Diceros bicornis minor: one gene and its partner. The protein of the gene in region 1 purifies or fractionates together with the protein of each later gene. This does not show direct contact. Links are inferred from orthologs where the notes say so. Each region holds a gene or a part of one and is shown in the gene's direction. Other genes may lie near its edges.

Region 1 (7,769 bases):
CTTGAAGGCCAGACTATATCTCAGTGAATTCATTGTGGATCCTAGTGATTGCCTCTTCCCTTCCACTGTAATAAACTATCCTAGCCCTTTAATAGTCGGTTCTAGAAACTTGCATGCCTTTGATAGCATGATTACTAGAATATATCTACTTCTCCTTTTTGAAAAGCAAAACAATATTATATCATCCACAATCCCCTTGGACTTCTGCTGTTCTCCATGGTTACAAACCTCATTTGTCAGTATCCTCGATGTAATTAATATGGACTATTTGGGGCACTGTAACAGGAAGCCCTGATCTCATCTGACAAAGTGACATTTAAGCTGAGATCTGAAGTATGAATAGCAAAGGCCATGAAAGCATTCCAGCAGAGATGGTTGCATGTGCAAAAGCTGTCAGGGGAGAAGGAGCTTTGGGAACTCAAAGGATGAAAGGTGGCCAGTGGGGTGGAGCTTGGTGAGTGAGGGGGAGAGTAGCCCCTCCCCCCGGGGTTATAGAGGAAGGCAGAGGTCAGAGAACTCAGAGACTTGCAGATGATGTTACGGCAAGATTTGGGACTTATTCTAAGAGCAAGGATAAGCTACTGAAAAGTCATAAGCAGGGGAGTGATTTGATCTCTCTTCCAAAGATTTCTGTGGTTACAGTGTGGAGAATGAATTGAAGAGGGCCAATAGTTAGGAAGATATGGGTAAAACTGGTCTTAAATAAACATTAAGACTAGCCTGGGAAGGGAGAAAGAAATTTCAAACAGGCAAAAAGTACCCTTAGAGGTATGTTTGAAAGCTCAGCAGAGACAGTTGAATTTCTTCAACTTGCTGATGGCAGTGATTTAAATGATGATATAACAGCTTCAATTTCTTTCTTTCTTTTTTTTAGTGTTAGATGGAAGAAGTGACTCCTTCTTCTCACCATTCCCTTCCTGCTGGATCCCTGAATTGCTGACCAACTGACCCAGAAGCAGTTTGCTCCCCTCCTTCCCAAGTGTGGACTGCATCCCATGCTCTAGTGGTTGTTGCGCGCATCTGCCATGGTGAGATTTCTGAGGGGTTGGGGTAGAATGTGGGAAAGAACAAGGGGGGCAGTAGAGAAGAAGGACTTCTGAGCAGCTTGCACAGAAATGAGGCAGCAGAATTGAAATGGTCAAGGAACACTTTTCCTTCCCTTTCTCCAGACAGAAAGCATCATATCTAGTCAAGATGGTAACAAGGACAGAAGACTGCTTCCTCTGAATTCCTGCCTGCAGGAGTCTGGGGCTTCTGCCGCAGTCAGCTGATACACCACAAGAGTTGGTGTTCTGTACCACGGGTTCTGACAGTTTAGGCAAGAGGAAGTTAGTTTTTGCAGTTCTGTTTATGGAATTGGCCGAATGAAAATGCTGGCCGATGGTCTGCTTTTCATAGTCATTGACAACAGCTTCCTACAACACCTGGGTTTTCTTTGGAAACTGTGAAGAGGCACTGAAAAGAGCAAAAATAATTTCTTCTTGTCTTAAAAAAAAATCCACAAAGGAAAGTAACTCTTAAAGGATATATGTGAGAGTAACTCTCATTTCAGGTTGAGTTTGAATATGGAAAAAAATTACCCTGCATAAATTTCATGTTTTGCTGAGCATACGTTGATTTGTTTGGAATTGCATTTTTACAGTCAAGCAAATTAGTCGGGACCCATGAGTATAGGTGTTGTGATGAAATAAATTAGGAGGACATAGAGATAACAGAATTGTAATAACAAATGAAAATATCACCAACAATACTGCTATATCTTGGAGGATCCTAAACGTCTTGCTTTTAAGTTGGACCACACTCACAGGATGGTGGGTGAGAGAATCCTGCAAAACAATTTCCAGTTCTCTCATTTTTTTTAAGTTGATCTATTTGAATCTATAAGCAAAGTACAATTTTTTCCATTTGTTTAACAAAATTGTATATGGAAAGATATTACTTATTGTGTACTAGTAAGCACTTACAGCTCCAAATGTCTAAATTTGTTTTCTATTACCTATTTAATTGATAAGAATGTATTTTATTGATAAGGATTCTAGACTTATGCCTAGAATGAATGACAATAATCTCTTCCACCCCCAAATTCCAGTATCTAGAATAGTGCCTGCCACATACTAGGTGTTCAACAAATAAAGAGGGAATTAAATTACATTAGTTGCTGTGTTTAATAAAAGTAAAGCCAGAAAATAAACTCTGAAAATAAATTTTTGAAATAGTAGAGAGCAAAACCTTAGATTCATTTTGCCAATAAAATAAAATATCCTAATATCTGATTAATATACATTTAACATAAATCTTAGAAATCATTAGCTGTAGCCTCAAGGGTGAGCAAACAGAAGGAACCATAATAGAGAAAGAATTGGAAACAAACGGTTTTACTTCTTGACAATTAGGACAGTTTGGGAACATACCTTAAATCTCCTGCATCTGCACTTCATTGGGGATAGGCTACTCGTTGGTCACAGAATCAAGTTCAAAATTCGTAGGGTGTTTCTGAAGATCCTTTTGGGGTTTAGCGTTCATTCGGGCCGCCCCTGACCACGTATCCTGAGCGTCTGCCAAGACGATGGGTGGATATGTTCCTTTTCTTAGCTTGTCCTGCACTTTCTCACCGACCCCTCCCTCCCCCCTGGACTTTACCCACTTGGGCTCCTGTCAGTTCCTCTAAAGCCTTCCCACATTTCAAGGCCCAGTTTAATCTCCAGCGCTTTCAGAAAAGCTTCCCCGAGCCCCTTTTCAGATGCAATATCGTTCTCCCCTATTTCCCTCAGTACTTTGAACCTCTATTCTAGCAGCCATTACTTTCTAACGTGTTGTTTTTGCACGTCGGTATCCCCTGACTAGATTGCGACCACTCTGTTGGGGAGGTCTTTTAAGACCTAACCGTGTCCAGCCCCTAGCACAGTGCCTGGCACAGAGAAGATGCCCAGTTAATGTTTGTTGAAACGAATCTAAACACCAGAGGGGAAAAGGAGAAGCGCCTGTGGCCGGCAGTAAGGGCCCCTTCACGACCCGAGGGGAGGCCCGTGGTGTCGCTGGACCCTGTCTCCAGCTCTAGACTGGCAGGAGAATGTGGTGCGGCAGAAGGCTCGTGTAAATGTCTCAGAACTCCGTTTACTTATTTCTTCTTTACTTTTATAAAGGATTCTTGGAAGTTCTCTCCAACAGCTTCGGGGCAAGCCATAAAGGGCGGCGCAAGCTGGGGGAAGTGGGGGTTGGGATGCTCAGTCTCGTGGCAATTCTAGACTCAGCCTACATATTTAATTTTTAAAGTTTCGCAAATTCCAGTTCTAAACTAGGAGCCAAGGGTGTAGAGAATTTCCTGGTGCACAATTTTCGCGTCCTAGGGAAGTCTGCCAGCATTCGGGGCTTTGCCTCATTTATCCTTCTCACATTTCCCACCGCGAGGAATCTACCGAGAGCTCCCAGCCTTCACATCCAGCCGGTGCTGAGAACCGCGATTCGGCCCAGCGGTCTCAGCCGGTTCCTCCTTCAACCCTCTGGGCAAACCTTGTACGGGCGAGTGGGGGAGCTCCCAGCCCGCAGTACGAGGCGGAATAGGAGCACGGTTGGACTACAACTCCCAGGCTGCTCTGGGAAAAGTGCGGGGGGGAGGAGGCGAGAGGGAGGGGTTTGGGGTGGGGGTTGGCAGGGAAATCCCGCCCCGCTGCGCAGCAGCAAAGACACAAAGCCCGACTTTACAACCTCATAGAGAAAGTGGAAGTAAGACGGCTAGGTGGGGAGGCAGGACGAGAGAAAGAACCAGAGGAGGGAAAGCCGCGTAGGTGGGAGCGGAGCGAAGCGAGGGTAGTGGGAAGACCCGCGGCTTTCCAGATGAGGAGGGGGCGGCTTTCATAACTAATTCCCCCGCCCGCGCTGGGGTCTGCAGAGTGCCCTGCCCGTCCCCACTCCTAGCTCAGAGCCCGGCTCCTCCCCGCCGGGAATCGTGGAGCCCGCCTGCCTTGCGGGCTCGGGGCGGGCCAGCGCGCTGCATCGTGGCTCCCCAGCCCGGGTGCGGGACGAAAGCGCGGGGTGGCGCGGCTGCCGCGGGCCGAGGAGGGGCTGCGGGCGAAGCGGCGCCGCGGACGAGTTAGGGCCGGGGCAGGGGAGGCTGTGGCTCCCGACCGAGCTAGGGGCGGAGTGGGGCTGAAGCGAGGTTCGGCGCGGGCTGCCCCGAGTGGGGCGGAAGCACGCGGGCTGGCCGCCGAGGCCAGCGGGGAAGGCGGGCGGTGGCCCTGCGCCGGGGAAGAGTGCAGGCAACGGGGTGCCGAGGCCGGCGCTGGCGGAGAGATTGGGGCGCCCTCCTCCCCGCAGGAGGAGCCTAGCGCTCCTCCGCCATCCCTCCCCCGCGCGCCGAGCTCGCCTTCTCCGCGGGCTGCAGCGGGAGCCGCGGGGCGGCGGTGCTGTGGCCAGATAAGGGAGAGCGGCGGGGCCGCCGGCCCCGGGACGGGCGGGCCGGGGGCGGGGGCGGGCAGTGAGTGAGGCGGGGCGGCGGCCGGCGGGAGGGCGCGGGGCGGGGGGAGCGCGGAGAGCCAAGGAGGGCAGGCGGCGGGCGGGTGGCCGGGCAGCCTGGCTCGCCGTCCGCTCCGCGCCGCCGGCCCCCGCCGCAGTGTGTTTTGTGGACGGCACCTTCCCAGACAGCCAAGTAGAGCCCAGCTCGGCGCCCGGCCGCCTTCGACGTGATGTTCCGCCGGACCTTTAATCGTTTGGTAAGTACACTCGCTGCGGCTCCACGCGTGCCGCTTTGCTTGCTCGCCAGCTCCATCGCCGGGTCCCTCAGAACAGTTTTCTTAGAGCATAATTGCATCTCTGGGAGACACCACCACCCCATTTCCAATTTGAGCTGAAACACGTTGCTCAGGCGGCCGCGGTGGGGAGGCAGGTAGGGCTCTCAGAATACCCCCCCCCCGCCCCGACAATTTAACCAGAGCTTCCCGGGGCTGTTACAAACTCTGCCTCAGACGGGGGCCACCGTCGTGCTGGATGGGGGGCCACTCGTGAGGGGACCGACCCCGGGGTCCTTCGGTTTGCCAATTAGTCGAAGATGGCGTTTTATTATCTGGGAGGTTGCTTTCTTTTGTTTCCTCTGCCACGAGCACATGGAGGTAAACCTAGACCTGTCACTGTGGCCCAAAAAAGACCTGGGGCTGAGAGGGCCGGAGACTGAGGCTGGACTCAGCCCTGCCCGGGGCTCGGCCGGGCGGGCAGCCGCTGATGGGAGGCCGGGCAAACTTTGGAGATCCAGTCCAAGCAGCTCACCTTTAGGGCCCAATAAAAGAGAGGGCGATTGTCAGGGTGGGCTGGGTGATTGTGGAGACGCGAGGAGGCTGCACCGTCGCTGCCGAGCCTCGGGTCTGAAGCCTCTCGGAGCCCTGAACGCCCCAGACGTTGAACCCGTGGGAGAGGCAGGCTGCGGCTGGACCCCTCCGTCCACCTTTATCCCCTTCCAAATCCCCAGAAAAAGGAATTTCATTTCCATGAGAGTTTGGCATAAGGGAAAGTGATTTCTGGCTAATGACTTTTTTTAGTAACCTGTTAACTCCTAGAGGGTACATTCAGAATGGAACAAAACAGGGACCATTTACTTCTATGCTGCTATTTGTAGCAACTTCCTTAATTCCAAGATGAGGTGGCGGGAATAGGATTTTATTTCTGCCAATGATGTGAAAGAAAGGGTTCATTTGTAAATTTTGATTTTTCTGTCTTTAGGAAAAATGGTTGAGTGCTGTGTGCTTCCCCCACCCCTCTTACAATCTATGTTTGAGAACTTGTCGATTTTGTTATTTTCATGTGATTATTCCTAATCAAAGCATTGCTAACATGTTTTATGTGCCGGATGAATTTTCTTTCGTCTTCTTTGCATTTGAAACTTTCACAAATGTACCCTGGCTAAAAGAAATAATTGTATATCTCTTTTTAGGATATTATTATCACAATAGTGCTATGTTAATATTTTTCTGAGTATTTACCTCACCTGGAGGAGAAATTGGAGCAGATTACCTGTGGCACAGAGTAATAGAGGTCGTAGGTATCAAGGATCTTGAAATCCGTAGGAATTGGCTTGTACTGAATGCTTTGCTAAAGCAGGTGACTAAAATTGGTTTCTCACATTTAGCCTGAGAAGGTAAAAGAGCATTGTACTTCATAGTTTTATTTCACATAGATTCTTGTGATCTTAGAGTGTTGTTTCGGGGTTACAAAAAGGGAAAGGTGACAAAGAGAGCTAATTGTAATATTTGAGAAAAGGATAATCTCTTCATATGGCTCTCTTACAGTGGAAAACAACTGGACTCTGGTTTGTAATAAATTCATTAGCTTAAAATTGAGATATTAACATTCCCCCAAGCCCCTTTTTTAAGGTTTTGAACATTTGAAACCAGACAACCCAAGTATTGGTCTCAATGCCCCCTATGCTTTTCTTTTGCTAAGAGTGATCTGCATTGTATCCGAGTCTAGTAATTAAGCAGTACTGGCCCAGGAAGCTAGGGCATGCAGTAGAATTCACAGCAGTTGTTGAGGTGCCAGCCTGCAGGTTTGAGGCTAGTACTTTGCATCCTTGACCAAGATCTCTGCAGAGAATCACGCTCACTCTGAAGTGAGCTTTGACCTCGTTGTTTCTGCTGGAATACCCGACTGCTCACATTTTCCTGCGCAACCATGACTATGGTAAGTCTCAGGAATTTATACCAGTGCAGCAAGCTGGAAGGTTCTCAGGAGTTGTATCTGAGTCCTAGGCCTAGGGCAAGGAATTAATCTGCAAATCATTGCACTGACTGTGAAACAGGCTATCAAATACTCATTGCTAAAGAATGACTTCAAAATTTGAGGGGACAAAATTTTATCTCCCCTAGATCAGTAAGCCATATGCTGTCCTGTCTTTTGCCTGGTAGAGATTATTTGAGGAGCCGTCTCATTTAAATCACTAGAAGCCTGCAATTAAAGATTTAGGTTGGACTTTGAGACTTGCACAGCAATGTAGATGTAGTCCAAGTTGTGTGCTCTCTTTGATTGCTTTTATATTTCAGAGATGGGGCTTTGAATTCCTTTCAAAATTGTGTGTTTTTTTGTGTAGCTATATATGTTTGAAATTGATTTTGAATGTGAAATAAATTACAGTGGTGTTGATTGTAGTTGTTGGTCACTGAAAAATAGACACTACATGTTAGGACAGGGCTTTACATTTTAAACCTGACACGGGAAGTTAATATCTCTTGGGAGTAGCGTCGTCTTCCATGGCTCAGTAGTGTTTGCTGAACTGCTTAAAAAACCCCATTTATTTCCCCAGGTTCTCCAGTTTCAAGCTAAAAGAAATAGTGATTCATTGTATTTTTTAAAGACATGGATTTGACGTCTTTGCCATTAATAATTGTCTTCTTTTCTTTCTGGGTGAATTTTGACTTTCCTTTTGACAGTTTTGAGGTTGAAAGAAACTGGTGGATTTGGTGTAGAGTCTTAGGATTTAGGCATGTAGAGGGTGTCTTAAAAGATTTGAGTTGGATGTCTCTGAGTATAACAAAAGCACAGCCTGTTCCCAGTCGACATCTCCCTTCTCCGTAAATACAATAAATAAATAATAGTAGCTTTGTCTATACAATTGATTTCCCTTAAAGGCATGTTTAATTGGAAGGCTGGACTAGTTGAGACTTAAGAGTCAGGGACTTTTATGTTATCCTGTCTTTTACTCTTCATAAAATCCCTAGTGGTTACAGTAGCAGTTTTCAAGTGGTTTTAAAGGTTTAATGAGAGTCTAAACAACAAGAATTCCCTCC
Region 2 (7,526 bases), on another chromosome or scaffold:
AGCTGTCTAAGTTGCAAGGTATTTAAGACGTTTAGGCTGTTTGAGAATTATTCCTTTCCTCTAGAGGAAAACCTCTAAGAAATAGAATTTCAGTTATCTAAATATTTTGAGGGTGCCTCCCCCCACCGCCCCAGAGGCCCTGGCCGATTTTAAGTTTAAAAATCACAGTCATTTCTCATGTGCATTTCTAACTAAATGGACAGACTTAACCAAAAGTAATCTAGAATATCAATGGCCATTATGGGGAACTTCTGAACTCCTTAAAGTTACTTTTCTTAAAACCAAATTGGACAATCATAGCTCTGTAATTTCCAAAACTAAATGGAACACCTATTTCAATTGGTATTTTGAGGCTTCCAAATGTTATAGGAGTCTAAAATTGCTCTTTTGTAAAATAAAATTTTAAGATTAACTGAGGCAAAGAATTAAAGAAAGATAAAATGGCTTCTGAAGCCTCATGTTCCTTTCTCCTGGCTCCTCATGCTCAGGCTCCACCTCTGGTGCCATCTTCCTCCCTCCCTTCTGTAGGGTCTAAACCTCATCTCTACTCTGTCCCCCCTACTAACACTCTTGCTGAACTTCCCCCTTTTCCCTGAACCTCTCCCCACTCCTCTTCCTCTGAACCTATCAGAACATGTCCTTTTAAAATTAAGCCTTCTGAGGATCCAAAGGCTAAACCCTTAACTTCTTATATTCTCTGGACTAAAGCTGAACTTTGAGCCATAGTCAAAGATTTCCCCAAAGTAACTGAAGATCCTCACAGAGTTGATGAGGAATTTAATATAGTCATTCAGACACTGGGTATTATCAGGCCCTGTGGCATGGGGATACCCCCTTGCCTTAGGGCAATTATTGCCACTGTCCTCTGGGTTAAGGCCACTGAGAAAATGGTTGTGGGATCCCCTTTAACCATTTTTCTTCCTCAGGCAGTAAAAGCCCTCCTGAATTTTCATCACAGTCAACATATTTCAGCCAGCCGCCTCACCTATGAAATCCCTTTGTTAGCTGCTCCCCACATAACTCTTTTATGTTGTTAAAGCCTTAACCCTGCTACTCTTCTCCCCTCCATTACTGACGAAGTCGCTGTTGACTGCTTAACACTGACAGATCACATCCTGACTCCTTGTGATGATCTGCAGCAAACTCCTTTGGAAGTTTTCCTGCAAACTTCCTTTGCAGGAAACTCCACCGACTTCTCATGGTTTACTGATGGTTCTTATTTAAAAGTTGACAATGGCAAATATTGTGCTGGATAGCAACTCCTTTTGATATTGCTAAGGCAGTACCTTTACCTATGGCTATTTTGGCCCAACAGCCTGAATTATACACTGTTACATGGGCCTGTACTTTAGCCAATGGCAAAAGTGCCAATATTTATACTGGTGGTAGATCTGCTTTCAGAGTAGCTTATGATTTTGGAATGTTGTGGAAGCAATCAGAAATTATTGGATGCTATACTTTTACCTGCTGCTTTAGCTATTATTAAGATCCTGGGGCATTCTCAACTTGACTCTCTGGAAGCTAAAGGAAATCACCTTGCTGATATTTCTGTAAGAATGCAGCCCTTAAAGGAACCAACAACAGCCAAGCCTCTGTCATGGTCCAAAGGGATATTTCCCCTAATGATAACTTAGAAACCTGACTAGAGAAGCCCAACAACTGGCCTCAGAAAAGGAAAAACAAGATCAGAAATTCAACAATTGTTGGCTTGATAAAAAGAGAAAGCTCTGGTTCAGATCACATAACAATCCAGCCCTGTTGGAGACTAAAATTCCCACTCCTAACCACTGTCACTGTACATGCATCAAGCCATTGGTCTACTGACAAAATGATAGCATTCATGAATCAGTATTGGTGGGGAAATATTAACAAGGTTGCAAAAAATGCCTACCTCACTTCTCCCACTTGTCCAAAATACAACCCATGGAAGCCTGTTCATACTGTTCCTGGACATTGAAATTGCCTAATGGACCATTCAAGTTTTGGCAAATGGATTTCATACAGCTTCTCCCATCTCATGGATATAAATATGTTTTAGTTGTGGTTTGTATGTCTTCTCACTGTCCTTGCAGACAGGCTACTGTCTCTTCTGTGGCTAACGTCCTTTTGGAAAGGATTATCCCTACCTGAGGGACTCCGCTCAAGCTTCATAGTGACTGAGCAACCCATTTTACTGGTCAGGTACTTCGACAAGTCTACGCTGTTTGGCCAGTTTTACAACACTCACGTTGTGCCTACCACCCTCAATCCTCTGGTTTAGCTGACCACACTAATGGCATTATTAAGACTTAATTGGCAAAACTTGTAGAGACCTTCAAATGCCTGGGCCAAAAGCACTGCCATTGGTCCTTCTAAATCTCAGATCCACCCCCTTTAGAACTCACAAACTCTCACCCTTTGAGATAGTCATGGGACGCCAAGTGCACTTGGCTTCTGCGTCTTTTGACCCACAGCTGATAAAAGGACATACACTCCAATATTGCAAAGGCCTAATTGTTTTTATTAAAATTAACCATGTTTTGGTAATCTTTTCACAGTTTGCTTCAGGGAGACAAAGCCCTTAAGCATCATACCTTGCAACCTGGAGATTGTGTCTATTGGAAAAGACACCTCCAGAAGGACTCTCTTCAACCTCATTGGAAAGGCCCCTATCAGGTACTGTTAACCAACCCTTGTGCCACAAAACTCCAGGGAATAGACTCTTGGATTCACGTGACACATCTAAAGAAAGCACCAAACCCTGACTGGTCCTACACATCATCTGGTGACCTGAAAGTAGAGTTCCTGGTATTGAGGCAGATGATATGTGATAAAGCAGCTTTCCCAAGATGTCCAGACCAGGCCTATTGGAAGTGTGTCTGCCAAACCTTTGATGATGACATAATGCTGCAGATGATCTCCAGTGCTTATGATCATGAAAACATATGGACTTTAGAAAAGAAAAATGCCTAGGAGTTTTCCTATCCTTGTTACTCAATTGTGGCCTCAATAGATTTCCAACCTGTGCACTTTCCCTCCGACAGGACACAGAGGAAAAGCCCTTCCTGGCATGGAATGACCAAAAGCTGCTGAATCTAGAAAAACCTGACTCTTGATCAACGAAGCTTTTAGAGAAAGACCGTGATCAAAAGCAGAAAATGACAGGGCCAGCCTGGTGGCACAGCAGTCAAATCCTTGCCTTCTGCTTTGGCAGCCCAGAGTTTGTAGGTTCAGATCCTGGGCATGGACCTACTCACTGCTCATCAGGCCATGCTGAGGTGGCATCCCACATAGAGCAACTAGAAGGATGCACAACTATGATGTGCGGCTATCTGCTGGGGCTTTGGGGAGAAAAAACAAAAAGAGGAAGATTGGCAACAGATGTTAGCTCAGGGCCAATCTTCCTGAACAAACAAAAAAAGAAGCATCTTCTCCCAACTTAAAAAAAAATGGGGGGAAGCCAATGTCAAATTAACAAAAAACCTCATTAAATTGGAATTGGGAGGCCAAATGGGGAGCTCTCACACCTTATGTCAAGTGCAGAGTCCAACAGGAAGAAGGAAGACTTCCTCTTCTTGATCGGCGTAAAGCTCAGCCAATCAGAGACTGCCCCAACCCAGTCACGTGAAAAGCCACTACACCTGAAACCCTCAGTTCCTCCAGTGGACTGTTCATAGTAGTCCTCCCAACGTCCTCTTCTTCTCTCTAAAAGAGGTCTCCTGCCTTGCTGCTGGGGGACTCACCCGCAGCTTACCATGGTTGCAGAGAGCGCACTTGCAATTCTTTGCTGATCTTGAACAAACTCATTTTTGCTGGAGTAATAACTGGCTATTTGTTTCAGGTCAACAGAAGCAAGATAATAGGATTAGCCAAGTCACATGATCTATTCTTTACTTTAGGACAAAAGGGTCATCCATCACACAACTCACTTAAGGTTTATATCTGCACTGTGAGTGGAAGTTTACTTATTTTAATCAGAGAAAAGTCGCGGTTTTTACAACCCCGGCAAACAGTGCCAATCCCACCAGGCTCAAGCTCCCCGGTGTGGTCTTTTAAACACGCCAGTCCCTTCGAAGAAGTCTTCCAGGTAACACAAAAACCTGTCTGGCGCCGAAGCCTCTCAGTCAGCGGCTCTAGGGACACGGCGACAACGGCGGCCAGGGGCGTGCGTTCAGACGTGCGAGCTAGAAGGTCCACTGCCATGACAACCAGAGCAGGGCGCAGGTGGGCGCCCACGGAAGCCCGGCGAGCGGGGCGGCGCATGCGCTAACGTACCTCACGCTCGGGGGCTGAGGCCTTCACTTTGTCGTCACAGGGCAGATGGTCAGGCTGCGTCCGCCTCTTCCCTCTCCCTCCACCGTCGGCCTTTTCCCTTCCCCTCCATTCTCCCTCTTCCCCTCCCCTAGTCCCTCCGTCTCCTCCCTCCCGCAGGCCCCCGCCCACCCCCACTTCCGGTCCGCGGCCGTCGGCGGAAGGGTGCCCCGCCTCTTCCGCCTTGGCGGCGGCGGTGGCGCCTGCGCGTCCCCTGTCAGGGTCAGCTGGCGGGTTCCCTGGGCCGTCCACCTGCGTGTCGCGGAGCCGTGCCCGGGGGTCGATGGCGATGAACTATAACGCCAAGGATGAAGTGGACGGTGGGCCCCCGTGCGCCCCTGGGGGCGCCGCCAAGACCCGGAGACCGGACAACACGGCCTTCAAACAGCAGCGGCTGCCGGCCTGGCAGCCCATCCTCACGGCCGGCACGGTGCTGCCCACCTTCTTCATCATCGGCCTCATCTTCATCCCCATCGGCATCGGCATCTTCGTCACCTCCAACAACATCCGCGAGATCGAGGTGAGCGGAGGGCCGGCGGGGCGCCTGCCTCGCCCCGGGTGGGCGCGGGCCCCTCCCCGCGTCTTGGCTCCCCTCCGCCGTTGCTGCGTCCTCTGCCTGCGCGTTTCCTGAGCTTGGGGTCTGTCCACGCGTCCTCGTGCTCGCCGTTCACACGGTTGGAGGCGGAATGAACGTAAACGCGGAGGGCGGGGCGCGGAGAAGGCCCCTTGAGTGGGCGCTCTGTGTGGTTCGGTGGGGGATTTTCGCCTCCAACGGAGGTTAAACAAAAGAGAAGTGGGAAAGTGGAAGTTCTATCTAGATGTAGCTCCAGGACAGTTGACGTGGTTAGAGTGCCATTACCTGGGTGGGGATTATCGCAGGACGCAGAGATGAACACCTTGGCCATTGTTGGGAAAAGGACCCGGAGTCATAGAGGTATTGATGATTTTTTGTGAAGTTGTCGTATCTTACCAGGTGACATCTTAGGACATGTGACCGAAATGTGCACAGTACCTTTCATTTTGAGGTAATAGGTGATTTTAGTTGTAGGGCATGATAGAGGTAAAGGTAACCGGAAACTTCAATTCCGATTTTGGTTTTAGGCTGTGTTTATTAATAACCATGCCCTACATTCACCCTAGTCTTTTTTTTCCCCTAGATTTTAAACTTTAAAGAAAAGAGTCAGTGACCACACACAGGATAAGTCGCATTGTCTACTGAGCATTTTACTGATCAAAGACATCACAGAAACGGGGAAGCATCTTGATTTCTGTCAGAGCAGCAATCATGGTATCGTGATCCATCTGCAGTGGTGAAGATAGGTTGATCCTAGAATGTAAATACTTTGTATGGATGTCCAGCATTAAACGTCTGCTCATCCTCGTTTCTTGAATATCTGAGGGTATTTTTGTCTGTTTGAAAGAGCAGGAACTGGCACTAAGTTCTCTTGATTTCTTCTGTTCTGTAGCAGGTTATGTCATTTTTTCCCTCTAATTTTATTAAACACTTTTAAATTTATGCATGTGCTTTGATAGGGCTTTCAGCGTAGTTTCATTTCAGCTATAGGAATAGGCATAAAGATAACTGTTTTTCAGTTTAATTTACAGTTACCTCTGAAAGCAAAATCAATATATTTTTTAATTGTACAGTGCTCATTTCGTTATTAATAACAGTAATAAGAATAGTATCTATAGTTTTTAAACCTTTTACTAAAAATTTATTTTCAGTTTAATAACTAGAGAAAGTGTCACAGTATGTTTTTTCAGCATGTATTTTTATCATTTTTTTCTCCCTAATGGTACTTAATATGTAGTACTTCTTGTTCTCCCAGCCACACTAGGATCACACATATCAGGATATGAGCAAAGTGGGGTAATGCAAGGACCGTGGGCTGTAGGCTGGAGTCAGGCAGAGGTGGCTTTCAATTCCAGCTCAGCCACTAGCTAGCTCAGTTTCTTGGAAAACTTAGTCTCTCTGAGCCTGTTTCCACACCTGTAAAATAGATAAATAATGCCTATCTTGTAAGATGTGAGAATTAGAAACAATATAGTAGATTAGATTCCTGGCACTAAGTTTGTACAATGAATAGTTACTGTTATGATGACTAGTAATCAGGAGTAGGGAAATGGGGTCAGAGGGATTGATAGTTGCTAGTAAGTTAGAAGAGTATTTTAAAATTGAGACGGAAACCCAAAGGTAGATGTCTTGATTCCCAGCCTTAACCTTTGACATTACACTAGGGGCCTTACTGCGATGTTAGTGAAGTAGAAGAAAATAATTTAACTTAGAAATTTGATCATCTTATTTAAACTTCTTAAGATATTAGGATGAACATAGCAGTAATTTGGAATTTTATGTGGTGGGTATTTAGATGAACATAGCAGTAATGTGGAATTTTATATGATGGGTATTTACTAAATTATCAGAATCAATGTCTGTTAATATTTACTATACTGTGAAAATAAATTCTTTAAAATTTTGAGGTTCTGAAATAAAATAAGGTTTTCACACTAAGTGGTTGGTGAAGTTGAAATTTCTTAAATAATTCTCATGTGTGTAATTCTGGTTTCAAGTTGCCTGAAGAGTCTGCTGCAGTTTGGTTTGGTTAAAAGGGCACTGAAGTTGGGGCCGGCCCGGTGGCGCAAGCGGTTGAGTGCGCGCGCTCCGCTGCGGCGGCCCGGGGTTCGCTGGTTCGGATCCCGGGCGTGCACCGACGCACTGCTTGGCAAGCCGTGCTGTGGCGGCGTCCCATATAAAGTGGAGGAAGATGGGCACAGATGTTAGCCCAGGGCCGTCTTCCTCAGCAAAAAAAAAAAAAAAAAAAAGAGGAGGATTGGCGGATGTTAGCACTAGGGCTGATCTCCTCACAAAAAAAAAAAAAAAAAAGGGCACTGAAGTTAAAAGAGTCCAGGCATTGGAGTTGAAGTCCCAGCTCTGTTACTCTCTAGTTTGTGGCATATTTTTAATTCTCAGTTTTTTTACTTGAAGAACCAAGATTCAGACTTGATGATCTCTAAGATGCTGTTCAACTGTAAAATTCTTTGACTTCCAACTTTAATGTGATTAAAAAAAAATGCTGCGTATTCAAATTGTATCACCTTTGGAACCAGAGGAAATGAAAATTAGGAATGATTGGAAATTTTGTACCAGCACTGACATATAGTTGTGCAAATAGAATCAAAAAATGTTTTTTTTATTTGCTTGTTAAATATGTAGGAAATTGGTTCTGGAGTTATTA

What was found.
Region 2: the proteins of ATP11C (region 1) and TMEM30A purify together in Homo sapiens (co-immunoprecipitation; 4 studies listed by BioGRID and IntAct, with this or other methods). This does not show direct contact. The link is inferred for Diceros bicornis minor from reciprocal best matches to the Homo sapiens genes ATP11C and TMEM30A.

What each region holds. Positions count from the first base shown.
Region 1 is NC_080781.1:126,899,422-126,907,190, reverse strand, and holds the start of ATP11C (phospholipid-transporting ATPase IG), read left to right. Parts: upstream 1-4,559; 5' UTR 4,560-4,682; coding exon 4,683-4,709; intron 4,710-7,769. UniProt on the Homo sapiens protein: Catalytic component of a P4-ATPase flippase complex which catalyzes the hydrolysis of ATP coupled to the transport of aminophospholipids, phosphatidylserines (PS) and phosphatidylethanolamines (PE), from the outer to the inner leaflet of the plasma membrane.
Region 2 is NC_080762.1:55,435,221-55,442,746, forward strand, and holds the start of TMEM30A (cell cycle control protein 50A), read left to right. Parts: upstream 1-4,498; 5' UTR 4,499-4,573; coding exon 4,574-4,810; intron 4,811-7,526. UniProt on the Homo sapiens protein: Accessory component of a P4-ATPase flippase complex which catalyzes the hydrolysis of ATP coupled to the transport of aminophospholipids from the outer to the inner leaflet of various membranes and ensures the maintenance of asymmetric distribution of phospholipids.